Linked DNA regions of Oreochromis niloticus. The protein of the gene in region 2 purifies or fractionates together with the protein of the main gene of each other region. This does not show direct contact. Links are inferred from orthologs where the notes say so. Each region holds a gene or a part of one and is shown on either strand. Other genes may lie near its edges.

Region 1 (7,985 bases), about 18 Mb from region 2:
TTAATTTGGAAAGTAAAGTGACTTTATGCCGTCTCTAAGAGGTTGAGAGCGTGTAGCTCAACATGTTTGATTTGGCTGATTTTTGGAAAAACAATCAGAAGATCAAAATGAATCAATGAAAGAACAAACAAAATCCTTCATTTTCAGTGCATGTGATGATCTGAGCTGTGATTGAAGGTTTGGGCGAACCACAAAGATTTTTAAACTCAAACTGGGCGGTCTGAAGTTTGGGAATGTCTGGTTTACAGTGAGGTGGCAAAAAACTGCACATAAATTATCCTTGGCAGAAAAAGTTAAACAGACAACCTGAACTACGACATCTCAGCCGCTTGGTGAGGTCATCATCCACACAGTGAACAGACACTCGTCCGATCGGTTCATGGGTTTGACTGTGACAAATTACTGTATGATCATTTCAACTCTTCTAACTCAGCAAAGAGCTGGACTTATTTACAGGATCTGTACCCATATGTGGTGCCATATTTTCAGAACAGTGGAGATTTGCACACGAGTCACCTGCAAGAGTTTTACTTACCCTGTTTGTCCTTCGTTCATACTCACATTTAAATATAAAGTTTAAGTGAAGCTGAAACCTAAACAAAACTCATGAATAATCAATAAGGGGGGATTGATGGAGAAACTGATTCAGGCAGAATATATAATGACTCCTGTATGTGTATGATCTGATCAATAACCACCCAATCACCAGGCTGCATTACCACCGCGTCCCATTTAAGTCGTGAGTCAGAAAAAGAAACTCGAGCATGCAGGTGCAGGTGGTGGGATTAGTTAAACCCAGCTTTTTTTAAACTTGGCTCTAGTGTTGAACCGCAGCACAGCAGAGAGCAACGCGAACACCCTGAAGCCTCTCTGCTCTACATACGTCATTGCTTTATTAATATTTTTAATCTTGGACTTAAACTCATTTTATGGAACTTGCGCAGAAAATTGTCTTTCTAGCAATTTTTTCTAAAATTTCTTGCTCGTTATCAGTTGCTTTTTAATACTTTTATATACAGCCTTTGTTTAACTTTATTTTTGATAATCTGAGTTTAAATTAGTGTTTTTTCCGTTGCCTTGGTACAACTTGCTTATTTCAAACAAATATATTTTCATTCCCACTTTTTCTGTCATTTATATTCCTGATATACAGTGAATCAATGTTTATTCATCCCAGATGCAGAGTCTATAGAAACAAGTCACAGAAGACAAGAAACAAGATAAAAACTAATCAAATACCCCCAATCTCCATCCCACAGAGTGATAACTACACCAGTGTCTCCACAACGAAGACTGACAACATGCAGCGCCAAATCTTTTATCTGTTAATCCCACTCAGAGTTGGACTTTGAATTCTTGCTGTAATCTGAATTTAACCAACTGTTAAACATTTGTTCTGGTACTGAAGATCCAGAAATGTTCGTTTAAATGACACTTACACCTTACATTCGTGCTTTGGTCTCATTTTATCCTTAATGTGTAATTTATTATATATTAACTGTTGCAACAAAAGGAATGACCAAATATAGGATAAAGAAAGCATTTTGTATATTTATCTGATTGTCCATTGTTACGCTCATATTTCTGGTGTAATTTGATCACAAAAATATGGGGGGAAAAAAACTAAATACATAAAAGATAAACCTGATATTTAAAAATATTTGATTTACAAATTTTTAACACACCTAATTATTGGGTAACAGTTTGACACTGAAACCTGTGGAATGAATATGTGATATGATAAATGAAAATAAATCAGAGGAGGCAGCGTAAGTTATTACGCTGTATTTCAGTTTTTAACACGGTTTCCGTTTTTAACACAGATAAAAAACACGTTTTTTATCTGTTTTTAAAAAAATATCATCTCTCACTGACCTATAAACTTTCTTTACATAAGATGGCTTTATGTGCTTTATTTTTCATCCTCTAGTGTTTACTGGATATTATCAGGAGCTCCTCAGGCCAAGATGATGATCTGTATGATATCGTGTGAGATGTGCTACACAAATAAAGTTAGGCCTGCTGAGTTGCTGTGATATAGTATTTCTGCTCTACTGCACAGGCGCGCTGTGTAGCAAACACTAAACTAAATTTAACGGAGCATTTTTAATGGCGATGACACCTTCATAAATTTACTTAATTCGGTTTACTTTTCTAAAGAGATCCACCTCGGACTCATGTCCTGGTCTCATTCTTTACATCCTTTAGATCCACCTGGCAGTTCGCTTTCATTTCTGGTGTAATCTGAGTTTAGAGGGTTTTTCTTTTCTTTTTTGCAGTTTTACTGTTTCTTTAGTGTCAGATTTATACAAATAAATTCATTTCTCACAGATGTGTCCAGTCGTGTAGCTGCTCTTTTGTGTGTAATGCTTTACATTTATTGGCCTTTCTTTTCTTTATTCTGTTCATTGTTATCAATAAAGTTATTTTTCCATGTAGATGGTTTATTAGCTATTAGCTCACTGATGCTAACCAGCTCGCTCCCTAGCATTTGTTATGCTAACTGCTGTTGAGCCCGATCCAGCCTGTTTTTAAGTTACAAAACACAACCAGGAGCGACCAACTGCGCCAAATACATACTCCCGCGACAAAAGGGTGCGCTGGAAGGGAAGCTGGCGGTGCTGTGAGTAGTCTCTGGTGGGGTATTTTCCAGCTAACAGGGCTGTTTGTGGTTTCTCCTCCAGCAGCAGCAGCAGGCTAAGCTAGCTCGCTCCACTCGGGAGAAATCCGACCCGGAGGCCGAGCTCCAAACATCCACAGAGAAGGGAAAAAGCTCCCCTGGGCTGCCAACACCACTTTTTCGCGTCTTTTACGCGCGGGGACGTGTGGGTAAAAGTCACAGTGTGGACACAAACTCACCTCGTATGAGAAAACAAAAACTACACAACAACAGACTCCGCAGCGCGACACCCATCTTTCTCCCGATTCTCGGCCCAGCCGCGGCGGCTCCTCAGCGGAGTATTCCCATTGCTGCGGCCGCTTCCTTGGCTCAAAAAAAAGCGGATTTCCCAGAATATTCAGGTCGATGTTCGGCTCCGGTTCGCATTACACCGTGCCCGCTTCCATCCCGGCTGGCTGCTCGCTAACTGCGTCGGATAAACTCTCGGTGTCTCACATTGTCCTGCAGGAGCTCCGTCGTCTCCTTCCGCTGTGAGGAAGCTGCCCCCCCTCTCCAGCCTCCGCCTCCACCTCCACCGCCACCTCGCTGCCCGGCTCTCTATTGTTGTTCCGCCTCACAGCCGCAGGTACGCTCACAGCACGGAAACGTCCCGCAGAACCGACTTCGAACCCCCACAGAACCCCACCCCCCAACACGGACGTTAACCCCACATTCCTGCGGGACTACTTTATCACACGGACAGGGGCCCCAGAAAACAGGGCCCCAATATCATCCAACGGCAGGGGCGTTTCCAGGGGTTTTTCATCAGGTGGCACAAGGCAAGGGGGGCTCAGGAAATGGTTATATACTATATCTGCTTTTTTAAACCAAATTCAGTCATTTGGTAAAAAGCTTTTAATCAGCTTTGTTTGTTAAATCTCTGCATCACAACATATCTTAAAAATCTAAGTCTATGTAATGCCATAAAACATCAGAAGAAACACATTTTCACCAGAAACCCACAATAATTACAGATATAGATTAATCTGACACTTTTGTTTGATTTTCACACAAAAAAGCCATTATGTGGATTATTAAAAAGTGTGAAAACTGATATTGTAAATAAACCTACATAACGTAATAGATTTTACAGTGCTTCTGTTCTTTTTCTTAAGAGAAAAAGAACAGAAGCACTTTTGATTCTAAATTTTGATTCAAAATTTTGGATTTTTACACTTTTTACTGACCTATAACATCTGATTTCAGGTTTTCTCTGTTTCTTTACACCCTATAAAGTTTACATGTTGCATTTTTCTATTTTTGATTTGCATTTTAATGTTTTATGCCTTAGAGAGGCAAGGTTGAGATGGGCAACAGCAGACAAGAAATGGTGGATAGACATGGAGCTGCCAGGCAGGATGTAGTACATGAAGAGATGATGGAGAAAAATGCTGGGGATAGTCTGAGATGGAGGCAGATAACCTGTGGTCTGTGGTCACCCCAAAAGGGACCTTTTAATTATATTAATTTCATGAAAGTAGCATCCCAGTGCCCAGAAAGTAGATAATCACTTTTTACAATATTATTATTCCTTTATCATTATTATCATTATTATTATTATTAAGATTTTATTCATGAAATATCAGCCCCAGTTTCAGGTTTCAAACATCAGAAAATGCAAGATTTCTCAAAAGCTTTCAGAGGGAGAAAGTTCACTGAGGATGTGAGGCCTCAGATTACAGAGTACACTTCCTATTTCAGAGTAACAGCTTTTCTAAAATCTCTTGCTGATTTAATAAAGTGTGGATCACTCTTGTCTTATCTAATGAATGTATCTGTGGGAGATGTGGAAGTGAAAGCAGGGCTGAAAAATTACAAGCAAGGTGGACCGGACGCAGATGTCCAGCAAAGAGGAAAGGAAAGCATCTCATTTACAATATTTCAGAGTTTAATCAGCAGGTCAGCAAAACTGCCTCACAGTTTCAGGAATATGAGGTAACTTGTTAACATATTAACTACCTGATCACGTGCCCTTTCATGAGTTCAACCACAATATCCATCACACTATTTGATCAGTGACTGAGTTTTTAGGATTGGGTTTAGACTTGATAATACTTTTGTAAGTATGGCGAATATCCACATGAAATTTCAAGTGCTGAAAAACTCATTTAAGCTCTGTTAAAAACTTGAATCATTCGAGTGTCAGTATCATGAGATAAATCATTACTTGAATAAACTGCACCAATTTAATGTTATTATGAGGATTTAGAGCAACAGGAACAAGTGTTGAAACCATGGATGTTTGATCTGTTTTTATAATAATTCAATGAAGAAAACTTTAAAAAGTGCATTCTGGGTAAACTTTCAAGACTCATGTCAGCATGTGTGATCAGTGGCTACTCCCTGAAGTCAGAGCATATCAAAGGTCTCTTTTTTACCTACATTTGATGCCAGGCTCATCTTTTAGCCATGATTCTTTAGGAGTCAAAATCATTCCTGAAACAGAGCAGATGATCACTTTCTGCCAAGCGGCGTTGAGAGCAGCTCTGAAGCACCTGTAGCATAACAAACAGCTTTACTACAAATGTTGAGATTGTGGACTTCACTGGGGTCATCATAAAACACAGGCAACATTTCAAAGGGTAAGAAGGTAAGTATGCTCCTGGTTAGATGAATATGATGTTTGTTATATTTATGATGGCCCCGATGAAGGCCACAAGCACATTAGAGTATTAAAGTTTATTTTTATGCAGTCATGACCAAAGATTTTGGCAGTACCACATATTTAGTGTTTTATACATTTTGCTGCTTCACTTTTTATCTAGCTTTTTTTTATACGTGTTTGTGATGTAGTGAAGAACAATGGTAAGAAATCCAGTTTCAAACACTCACAGGAGAGTCAGTATAATATATGATTTAAGTCCACTATAGTAAATATTACAGTGCTGAGCAAAGATTCTTGATTTGAAGTTTGGGAAGCTTCCTGGCCAAGGATCCAAAATGTTTATTTGATAATCTCGACGCCTCTTAGTTACCACTTTTATCTTGCGACACAAGACAAAAGACATCCTGCTGGAAGATCATCACCAAACTGCTCCTGGATCACTGGAAGAAGTCTGAGGATGTTTTTATTCTAGTTTTTGAGACAAACAGTGATAATCTTGGAACTGTGATAAAGCAGGAGGATCACCATCTGGGGCCCAGATACTGACAAACAGAAGGGTCGACACTGTAAACGTTAACTTTTTGCATACATATTAGCCCCGAGCCATGTTTATGGCCAATAAAGGTCTTTGAAACTTGTGAAATGCTTATGATTGTTCTTCACTAAATCATAAAAAAATTTTAGCCTTCTTCAAAATAATTTTTGTGCGGCGTACATAAATATATCTGGAAAAGTGATATAAAAACTTGAAATTTTGAGGAATTGTCAAACACTTCCCAACTGTTGAGCCTGCACCATGAATTTGTCCAAAGATGGAGCTTAGCTGGACACGATAGAGAAGAAGTTTGATCAAGAACAGCATCGACCAAAGACGTCACTCAAGTTTATGAGAAATCTGCAATAACATAAGACTGAGACCTTTGGGAGTTTGTTTGCAGTTTTTAACAGAGGTTAAATGTGTTTTTTCAGCTCTGAAAGAAGTAAAAATGCTCAAAAACTTATAATACAAGTTAGATAAATCCTAAATTTAACAGCAAGTTACTCTGAAAATACACATTATATGAAGGTAGAAGCATGGCTCCATGACATATATTTAATTTTCTGTAGATTTAAAAAACAGATGGGTCAGGTGGAAACTTTTCTCAGATTCAGGCTGATTATTTTTGTTGTTGTAATGAACCTGCGCCCAGTTTGGTTAATACAGAACAGTAATAAATGTGATGGTGTGATAAATGTGAAATTTTATTTAACTTGGAACAACTTTACAAGATTAATTTTGATTATTTGCTGGTGGAACACCCAGACGATACAAAATCACAGCGGTTCTATTTAAAATCAAACACACTCAGGAAAAAATAAATCTGCAGACTCAGAAACTGTTCAAAAATCAACAGTTTTTTAATCCTTACAAGAACAAAACATCAAAGTTCAAACTTATGCAAAAGCATCACTTCACAAAACAAGACCAAACTATTACCATCCATGTAATTATTAATTAGGCAATCAAAGTAAAAATCAGAGCAGTATCAGTGAAAACGCCTCATTGGTGCAGCTTCAGTTTATCGGACTGCTGCTGCTGCCACCTGGTGGTGAAGTGACGCTATAGCAGTCTCGTTTCTGCACATCCAGTACAATACAAATGTCATTATAGGAAAATAGTGCGCAGCAAGTGTCCTCTTACTTATGAAAAACAATCAGCAGATCATAATTATTTAAAAAAAAAAACAGGATACAATAGTGCATCGATTTTCAAAGGATTGCATCCATCGTTTGAATATTTATCCACATGTGAAATACAAAATACAAAAACACCACAGTGAGAGAGTGAGTCTGACATCTACACCGGTCAGGTGATTTAAGAAGCAATCACAGGCTCGTATGGCTGAAGCGTGTGGGAGGAAGAAGACATGCAGGTGTATACACAAAGGGCCCCGCGACCCCGTGGCGAATCAGAAGAAGGCCAGAATCTGAATCAGAGTCCGCTCGTATAGTTTCTTCTCGCCAGTCCACTTCAGAAGCTTCCTGAGTTTCTACGAGTAAAAATATTGCTGTTTGTTCTTTGTTCCATCGTCAGCTGAAGTTTTGGACCAATGAGCTTCCCAGCAGGACTCTGAGCTCATCATGTGATCTGAGAGGCCACAGAAGGGCAGTGTTACCGCCTAAAGTCTGAAGGCTGCTTCAAAGTTGCACTATCACTTAATAAGACTTAAAAAGATCGAGTAACAACTGAGGAATTTGTCTCATGAGAAGTCAAATAATCTAAAAAAAAAAAAGCCAAAAAAATATCTCAAAGTTTGATTTTTTTTTCACAAAATAAAAACACCTCAAATAAATTCTAAGAATAGTTTTTAAATTAAGAGATATTTTGTCTTCATTGTGAGAACTTTTCAATATAAGTCTACCATTTTTTCTTTTGTTAAAACCAATAACAGAAAAATTAAGGTATGAAGTCCATGATTGGTCCGTGATGACTTTAAGGAGGTGGAGTCTGAAATGGAATGAGGTTGGCATCCTTGTACTTTACCTACAGACTGTATATAAAAGATGGACATGGTCACTTAAGGTGAATAAAGTTGAAATAATCAGCAGTGAAGAAATCATGTGACTGGTGAGTTTGTTGAACGACTTCTTTGTTAGAAAATCTGGAATGGGCGGAGTTTGTTCGCTATTGTTATAAATATAAAGTTCGGCTAGCTAAGCCAGCTTAGCTTAGCTTTTACA
Region 2 (7,775 bases):
CCTGTTATTTGAGTTATTACAATATAGGCAGGACAGGCAGGAGAATAAAACATTCTAAAACTGAATATATTGCACAGTGTCCCTCCCAATTAAAACATGGTTCAGCCCATTGTGTCAAAACTTATTTCTTGTTGTCAGTAGCAACTGATGCAGATATCAGGTTTACAGGATAAAAGAGTTTGAAATCCTGCCTCCACCTGAGCTGTCAGATGGCCAACTATAACTCTGACATTAACTGTGTGAAAAGCTGCAGAATTCAAAATTCACCAGAGAATAACTGAGTGAGAGGGAAACCAATGAACACTAGGCAGATGGCTTTACATGTGTAAAGTGTAGAAGTAAATTTAAATCTAATTTGATATACAAAGGTTATAAAGGTAGTTATGTAGCTATTTGGTGGTTACGTGTTTTGATATTTACATGTTTACACGTTTGAATGGTTAGACATGCATGTTCAAACCAGTAATAAGTATGTGTTATATCTACCTAGTTGTTTTCCCTGTTTTGATCTGAGTATAAGATTTCCTGGCTTCTGAGAGGCCAGTGAAGTATTCATGAGGGCGGCACACAGGAAGTGTGGGTTTGTTGTTGTTGCTGTGTGCTGAGAGTAAAGAGGCTGCTAAAAAGTTATCCGTCTCCCTCTTGCTGTTCCTAATTATTCAGAGAGATTCCAAACCATCTAGTGAACCCTCACGTTACACATGTTTACGGTGTGCAGAGATAATAATACCCCAATACAGTAAACTCGATTATTTACTTTAAGTCTAGTACATTTACCTGAGCTGACTGAACTCACACAATCCGAAGAGGAAGTTTTTACACAGGTGCAGACCCTTGCATGTCCCCGGGCAATCTTTCACTCTGCAAAGTCTCAGGTGGGTCCTGGCCACCACCTTCTCCTGTCCGTTTGGACAACAACGAGCAAATTTCTCTCGGTTACAAATGATCTCCGACAACTTCGTGGGATCGCCGGAAAATAGATTACATACTAAATCCTCAGTTTTGATTGCTCCTTGATTGGCGCAGATCCTTTTCAGTATTTCTGTCTCCATCGTGTCCGAGCTCTGCCTGCGTTTCCTTCCGCCTGTGAGACCAAACCGCAGCTTGACGACAGCGGACGATGGCTTCATGTGAGGAAGAAAACTTCGGCATCATTTCTGATGATTGGAAAGCGAAACTGAACTATTTTTTTTTTTATCTTGGACTGATGCTGTAATGCTGCTGATTTCCACTTGGGGGAGTCACCGTGCTGTATGACCTCCTAATGCAGCCTACACCTCGACTGAACATGGAAAGAAAGAACGGCTTTCTTCTGCTTCACAGCTGAACAGAGTGAAGACATTTCCAGTAATGCTATAACAAAAACAAGCCTCATTAATTTTATCTAAATGCTTTCTGTATTCTTCTCTTCAAAGAGTCTGTAATCAGATTACTGTGTTTTTACAGTAGGTGTTTAAGATTACATATGCCACTTTTAAAAATCCGATTATTGTAATCCCATTAATGCCATCTGTTAGTCCCACCAGCTGGAAACATGCAGCAGAACGGCTCCTGCCTGCAGTTTGTTTCCATCTCAAACATGCAAAAAGAAGGATTGGGCTTATTGCCTATTATAATAAATTTGTGCTGTATTTTTAACCAGAAATTCATGTAAAAACTTACTATCGACTTTTAAATTGTTTTTCTCATTTAGATGAACTTCCAGCACATTATAACGGATATGTTTCATTAGCACTGGAAACCAGCTCACCAGGTCTTAGCCTCCAGCAGCAGGAGGAACATTTAAAGTTCCCCGGCATCACTCATCTGCATTTTCTTGTTAACGTGCAGCACATTCCCCACCAGCTTCATTGCTTCCTGTCCCCCTCCCTTACTCCGAGGAGAATAAACATGTTGGAAGTGATTTTTCCATTCCTTCGCCCCCCCCCTTTTTTTATTGCCTGTCACTTCTTCCACCATCTGCTGCCACCAGAAACTATTATGCTTGTTACTCTGAAAAAGCCACATTTTTCTTTAGTATCATAAAGGAATACAGACAAATCTGACCAAGAGGATCACAATGACCAGGTTAAGTAGCCTGCTCTATAGTCACTTGGTCAAGAGTCTAAGATGCATAGCACCATACTTGATTAAGATGTTTAAACTTATTTTACAGTAACTATATCCTATATAATCTATCAGTTTCTTTCTTCAAATATCAACTGGATTTTGCCTATCTGGGGGCAGAAAAACAAGCTATTAGTGCTTACAGATGACTAATAACAATGACCAACTGTAGTAAATCCAGTAGTTCATTCTAGTATTTTGGACTGCTAACCCAAATATTCTGGAACCAAATGAAATCAAAACACTAAAAAAGGCTAAAAAAAAGAAAAGAAAAAGAGGCTAAGCATTTTATGTGGCTGAGGAGAACTGCAGAGTGATGTTAATTATCAGTGTATTTGTCATTACTTCATATTACACATACCCACTGTGTGCACTGAGGTTTGACCACCACTGATATGATTGGGAACCACGCTTGTCTTCCATTTTGAATGGAAGCGTATTCCCCGACCAGCAGGCGAAAACCTATTTGGTCTTGTTTTGTTTGCTAGGAGAATGTTGGAACCCATAGTTTGAATGGACGACACCAACTTATAAGCAAACACTTGCCAGTAGAACATGCCTGATATATTGGTAGGGGATGCTATATGTGGATGATAATTGACCAATATTAAAATAAATAATAATAATAAAATAAAAGAAGATTATTTTTCACTGTCACTCTATATTTGTAAAGACTCATAAACAGCAGGACATAATGAATGTTAAGAAACTTTATGTGGTGCCTGTGTCAAGGAAAAAAATAGAGAGTGATATATCAGGTTTTTAAAGTGCTAAATATCAGTATTGGTCTTAAAAATCCTATATCAGCCTGACTCAAGTCAAATCTTCAGTTGGTAGTGAAACTGTGAAAAGTGCAAGACAAACCAGAAATGGAGAATTTCTAGAAAACACTCACAAACTGCTTATACCAATAGGGGTTCAGTAGGAAGATGTGTAGAAAATAACAAGAGATACTGCCTGATAACTGATTTAGACTTCTGCATTGGATCTATGTGACTCTATGAATCTCTAATGACTCTAATAATTTACAGAATGAATGTCATAAAGACATCAGAAAAATGTGTTTACTGATGTCACGGTGCAGGGGATCTCTGTTGGTGCATCCCATTTGAAAAACTGAATTTTTGAGTTCCCAGTTGAAATTTTCAGCTGGAATGCTCACTCAAGCCGGACTTCCAGCTTAGAAAGTCAAAGCAGCACCAATGCCCACTTAATAAAAGAAGATCACAGGAGTGCACGTAAGCTTTAGTAAAACTGGAATACTTGAAAAGTGCACCACTGATCTTCGGCATTTGTGACTTGCTAAATAAGCCACACATTTCCTTGCTTTTTTGACTTCATTACTGGAATGCTCTTAACTCAGTGTTACATAACACCGACTCCAGCATCTGACTTCAGAGCTAAATGGTATGAATCTGCAACCAAGGGAGTAGAGTGTAAAAGAGTAAGCCACGATAAGTTACGACACTAAAACGAAATTTTCAAACTGCATTGTCATAACCCATATTAGATTTTTAAATCTCTAAATATCCGTTCAGAGGAGTAGCCCCCTGCTGGCCATTGGAAAGAATGCAAGTGGAACACACTGTTTGTGTAACATATCATGGTGTAGTCCTGAAAAAGTTAGAATTTCTGAGTTCCCACTTGGAATTTCAATATGGAATGCCCCCCTCAAGTCAGAGTAGCACCAGCAGTTAACCTGAGTAGCACTGAGCTTAAATGGTAGTGAAACCGTAAATCTTTTAATCTGTGCTTCCAATGTTGTGCATGTGTGACTCACTGAATGCAGGGATGATTTTAGCCAAAAATAAAAGAAGTAGAATGCTGTATTGGCTTTAGCTTGCTAAGCACCAAACAAATGCTGTTTTTCGTCTCTTTTTCCAGATACAGAGCTCTGAGGTAGCTATGTCCATTTTCAACATACAGTCTGTGTACTATACCTAAATGCTTTTTCTCATAAAGCTAAAAAAACAAACATAAAAAACCCAAAACAGCCCATTGAGGTGTGGCCTGTTAATTCTTAGAATCACTTGACAAAAAATACTTTAAAACTCTTTTTAGTCTTATATTTGTTTCTTATAGTATTACTACAGTCACACCTTGCGTACAAGGGCTTTACAAAGTACGAGTATGAGCAGAGGCGACTTTACAGTAAATGTGAACTAATTCATCTCATATTACATCCTTGTATTTTTGTGCCGCAGTCTGTCTAATTAAAGCGTGAGGTTTTAGCATATTGTGTAACCGCATTTGCCTTAAGCTTTGATTTAAAAAAAAAAAAAGAAAAGGCAAAAAAGAAAAAGAAAATCAGTCTGTCTTTTTAGCCTCTTCGCCTGCAGTTGTGTGTGTAGCTACGCGACCTGCCTGCGATTTCCTGCTTTGGGTTTCCCTTTAAAAGGGGGCAAGGCTCAATGCTGGGAATTCACGTCATTTCGCCGTTTTACACACATCCAGATCAATGAGAGAGAGAGAGAAAGAGAGAGAGTGAGAGAGAAAGCGAGAGAGAGAGGTGTCCGTCGAGCTCGCTCTCTCTCTTCGGTCTCGCTCTTCCAGGAAGGGATTATTAACCAGCGCGCTGCCGACATGTGAAGGGAAAACACACGCAGACAAAAGAAGTTTTCACACCGACGACCACGCTATGGACCCGGCCAGCAAATAAAGGAAGGAGGAGGAAGGAAAAAAAGGAAAAGAAGCGGGCTACATGAAAAAAACAACTTCTCCCACAAACACAAGCCGAGCAGTCGGGCTGCCGCTCGCGCTGCAGCTGTGCGGGTTTCTATAAGAAAGGAAAGAAGATAAAGAACAGCGCGCGACGGAAAAGTGGACGGAGAGAAGTTGACTGGAGATAATGTCTGAATCCTCCTCCGCTGCGAACAAGGTAACACTGTCCGCTCACCCCCCAACCCCCTTTAACGCACTCCCTCGTTTGTCTTCAGGAGACAATTTCAACTGTTTGGTTTGAGTCTCCGCTCCGTGTGATAGAGCCGCCAGGGTTGTATCACCTCCTGCAGACGGCTGTACAGCGCCATTCAGTTTGTTTTGCTAGTCATCTGTTGCTCGCGGCTCCACGCTCTGAGTTCGCCTCCACTCTGCTCATGATTGGAAGAAGTCGTGACTCTGTGTGACTGTTTGAATTACCGACCCCCCTATAAAAGTAAGCAGAGATCGGGGGGCGAACGAGTTGCAACCTACCTACATGTATGTGCAGCATCAGTAAAAAAGCTTTTTTCCCCCTTTAACTATACGAGCTGGAGGTGGGTGTTAGGACTGCAACTGAAGCAGAATTTGATGGATAAAGAAATGCTTGTTCTAGAGCTGAACTGAACCATACATTTAAAGACAGTGTACTGGGGAGGGGGGAATGGTTGATGTTTTCCTGCCTTTTTTTTTTTTTTTTTAGCGACGAGGAATTCATCAAAAACATAAATCAAAAAGGGAAAGGGTGCATTAGAGGTGCATGCATCCTTATGCAACATGATTTCATGCAATTATTTTTTTTTCTGATAGCAACTGTTTGCAGGCAAATGCAGGCATTTAAAAAAGTGCACCAATTGTGACATTTTGGGCAGATACGGATACCAATACCGATATTTTATATATTTATTTTAAAAGTGTTTTTTGTCCTCTGGGGTCCTCAGTGGAAATAAAAGAAAGAAAAATATTAATAAGAAATGACTTGTGTGTTTTAAAGGCCTTCACACAAATTTTGAACACTTATTTTATCCACCAACATAACATAGCTAGCTAACTACAAACAACAAACCGATACTGATGCTAGGTCAGTGTTGACTCTGTTTTTGTTTGTGTGTTTTGTCTGAAGAAATTAGATTCCAACTGATTTATCTGTTGGCTGATACTGGGCTATATTAGCTATTTGCTGGTCTATTGGAATTTGCATTAAAAGCAGCTGATTAAAAAAAATTTAAGCTGTGTCCACACTGGAAGTGATTTGCTTATTGCACATAGTTTTAAAACTGGTGCTTGGTTACTTGTGGACATTCCAGGCTCCGGTTTTCTAGGTAAGTGTTTAATGCATTTACTACCAGATTATAAGTCACTCAGTGGTATTCTGCGTTTTCGCTGATAGTCACTTTAATCGCTCGCCTAAAAGTTGAGCCTATGTTCATTCATTCTGCACTTTGAATACCTACAGCGTGTACACAGCTTAAAGATGAGAAACACCCTTAAAACATGTTGCGAGTGCTGACATTTCATAGTGTGACCTCTAGAGGGCACTCTGCATTTTAAAAAATGTTAAAATCGCCAAGTATCGCTATTGATTCAAAAGAAATAAGTGAACTATAAAGACTTTATTACGCTGTTGTCAGACATTTAGCAAATGTAAAACTGATAATAAAAGTAAATGTCATTGACTGTCATCAGTTTCGGTGAATGCGGCCAATATCAGCTGATATATCAGTGCGTCTCTAATATTTTGGCTTTTGTAGCCGTTGGTCATACTACGTATAAACAATTTAAACCCACTTTGTGCTTGCCAAGAGCATGTTGTGATCTGTGTGATCCATTGATTAATCAGTAATGAAGATGATACACTGTTGCAGCATGAGGACAAGGAGACAATATTGATCAGCAGAGACTGAATGCTAAAAATAGCTGATTAACCTGCAACAATTTTCAGATCCGATTATTGTTTTTGTCACACTAAAACTGGCTCTGTGCTTTTATTTTTGGACATTAGTCAAAAATCCAAGTCTATCACTGTAACTGGGACATGTAATAATAGAAATATTATTTGAGGTGCCAAGGTCAGACTGAAATAGCTCAAAGCAATGCGCACTGTCCAGTAACTGAAAAGGAAAAACGATGTTTTGTTTGTGAGGGATGTCTGCTCATTACTGAGTCTGATGTCAGGGCACGATTCCCGAGGAATGATCAGAACTTCCCTCTGAGAACTTTTACCGTCAGAGCGAGACAGGACGACTCCCCCTCACCTTCGGCTCTGTTGCAAATCACTTTCCGTTGGTCCCAGAGGTCGCGTTTTCACAGACCCAGGCAAAGCTGTGTGAAGACGCAGGCAGCTGAATTTTTAGACAGCTGAATGTCAAGAGAAAGGCCTTCTGCCTGTGAGAGGAGGAAATAGAAGACTGGAAGATTATTGCTGGGGTTCCACAGGAAATTCCTGGTACATGTAGTTGTTGTGCAGGTCTCAAAGTAGCTGGGTGGTGACAACAGGCTGGAAGGTGAAACGGCAAGAAAAAGAAAAACAAAAAAAAAAACTAACTAAAAAAACCCCTGAGCTTCATTTCCTCAAGAAACTTAGGTGGAATCATGCTTTGCAGGAAAGGAAACCAGTCAACAGAAAATTACAGTTAACTGGAAAACCTCATACCTTTAGCCTACGTTCGGTGCAGGCCATAAACAGTAGCAGAATTCTCATAAAAATGTGCAAATCTTTACATTCGAGGAGCAGAAACCAGTGAAAAACTCCCATTGTTGCCTGACTATTGACTGAGAAATTCTTAGAAGATAGTTTATGTTATTCAGAACTTTGAAAGTCTCGCATTCACCTATGTACTGACTAACCATGAAAAGGATTTTTGTGTTGAAAGGAAAAAAGACATCATTTTGTTATTACATCATTTTAAAGCTTTTGCAAACTGCAGTGAACCATCTGAAAGAAAACAAAGCAAATACACAGAATTCGCTTG

The links. The genes of interacting proteins can lie anywhere in the genome.
Region 1: the proteins of etv6 (region 2) and lrp6 purify together in Homo sapiens (affinity purification with mass spectrometry; 3 studies listed by BioGRID and IntAct, counting the BioPlex papers as one, with this or other methods). This does not show direct contact. The link is inferred for Oreochromis niloticus from reciprocal best matches to the Homo sapiens genes ETV6 and LRP6.

What each region holds. Positions count from the first base shown.
Region 1 is NC_031981.2:21,753,747-21,761,731, forward strand, and holds the start of lrp6 (low-density lipoprotein receptor-related protein 6), read right to left. Parts: upstream 3,314-7,985; 5' UTR 2,915-3,313; coding exon 2,860-2,914; intron 1-2,859. UniProt on the Homo sapiens protein: Component of the Wnt-Fzd-LRP5-LRP6 complex that triggers beta-catenin signaling through inducing aggregation of receptor-ligand complexes into ribosome-sized signalosomes.
Region 2 is NC_031981.2:3,497,295-3,505,069, forward strand, and holds the start of etv6 (transcription factor ETV6), read left to right. Parts: upstream 1-4,572; 5' UTR 4,573-4,954; coding exon 4,955-4,984; intron 4,985-7,775. UniProt on the Homo sapiens protein: Transcriptional repressor; binds to the DNA sequence 5'-CCGGAAGT-3'. Plays a role in hematopoiesis and malignant transformation.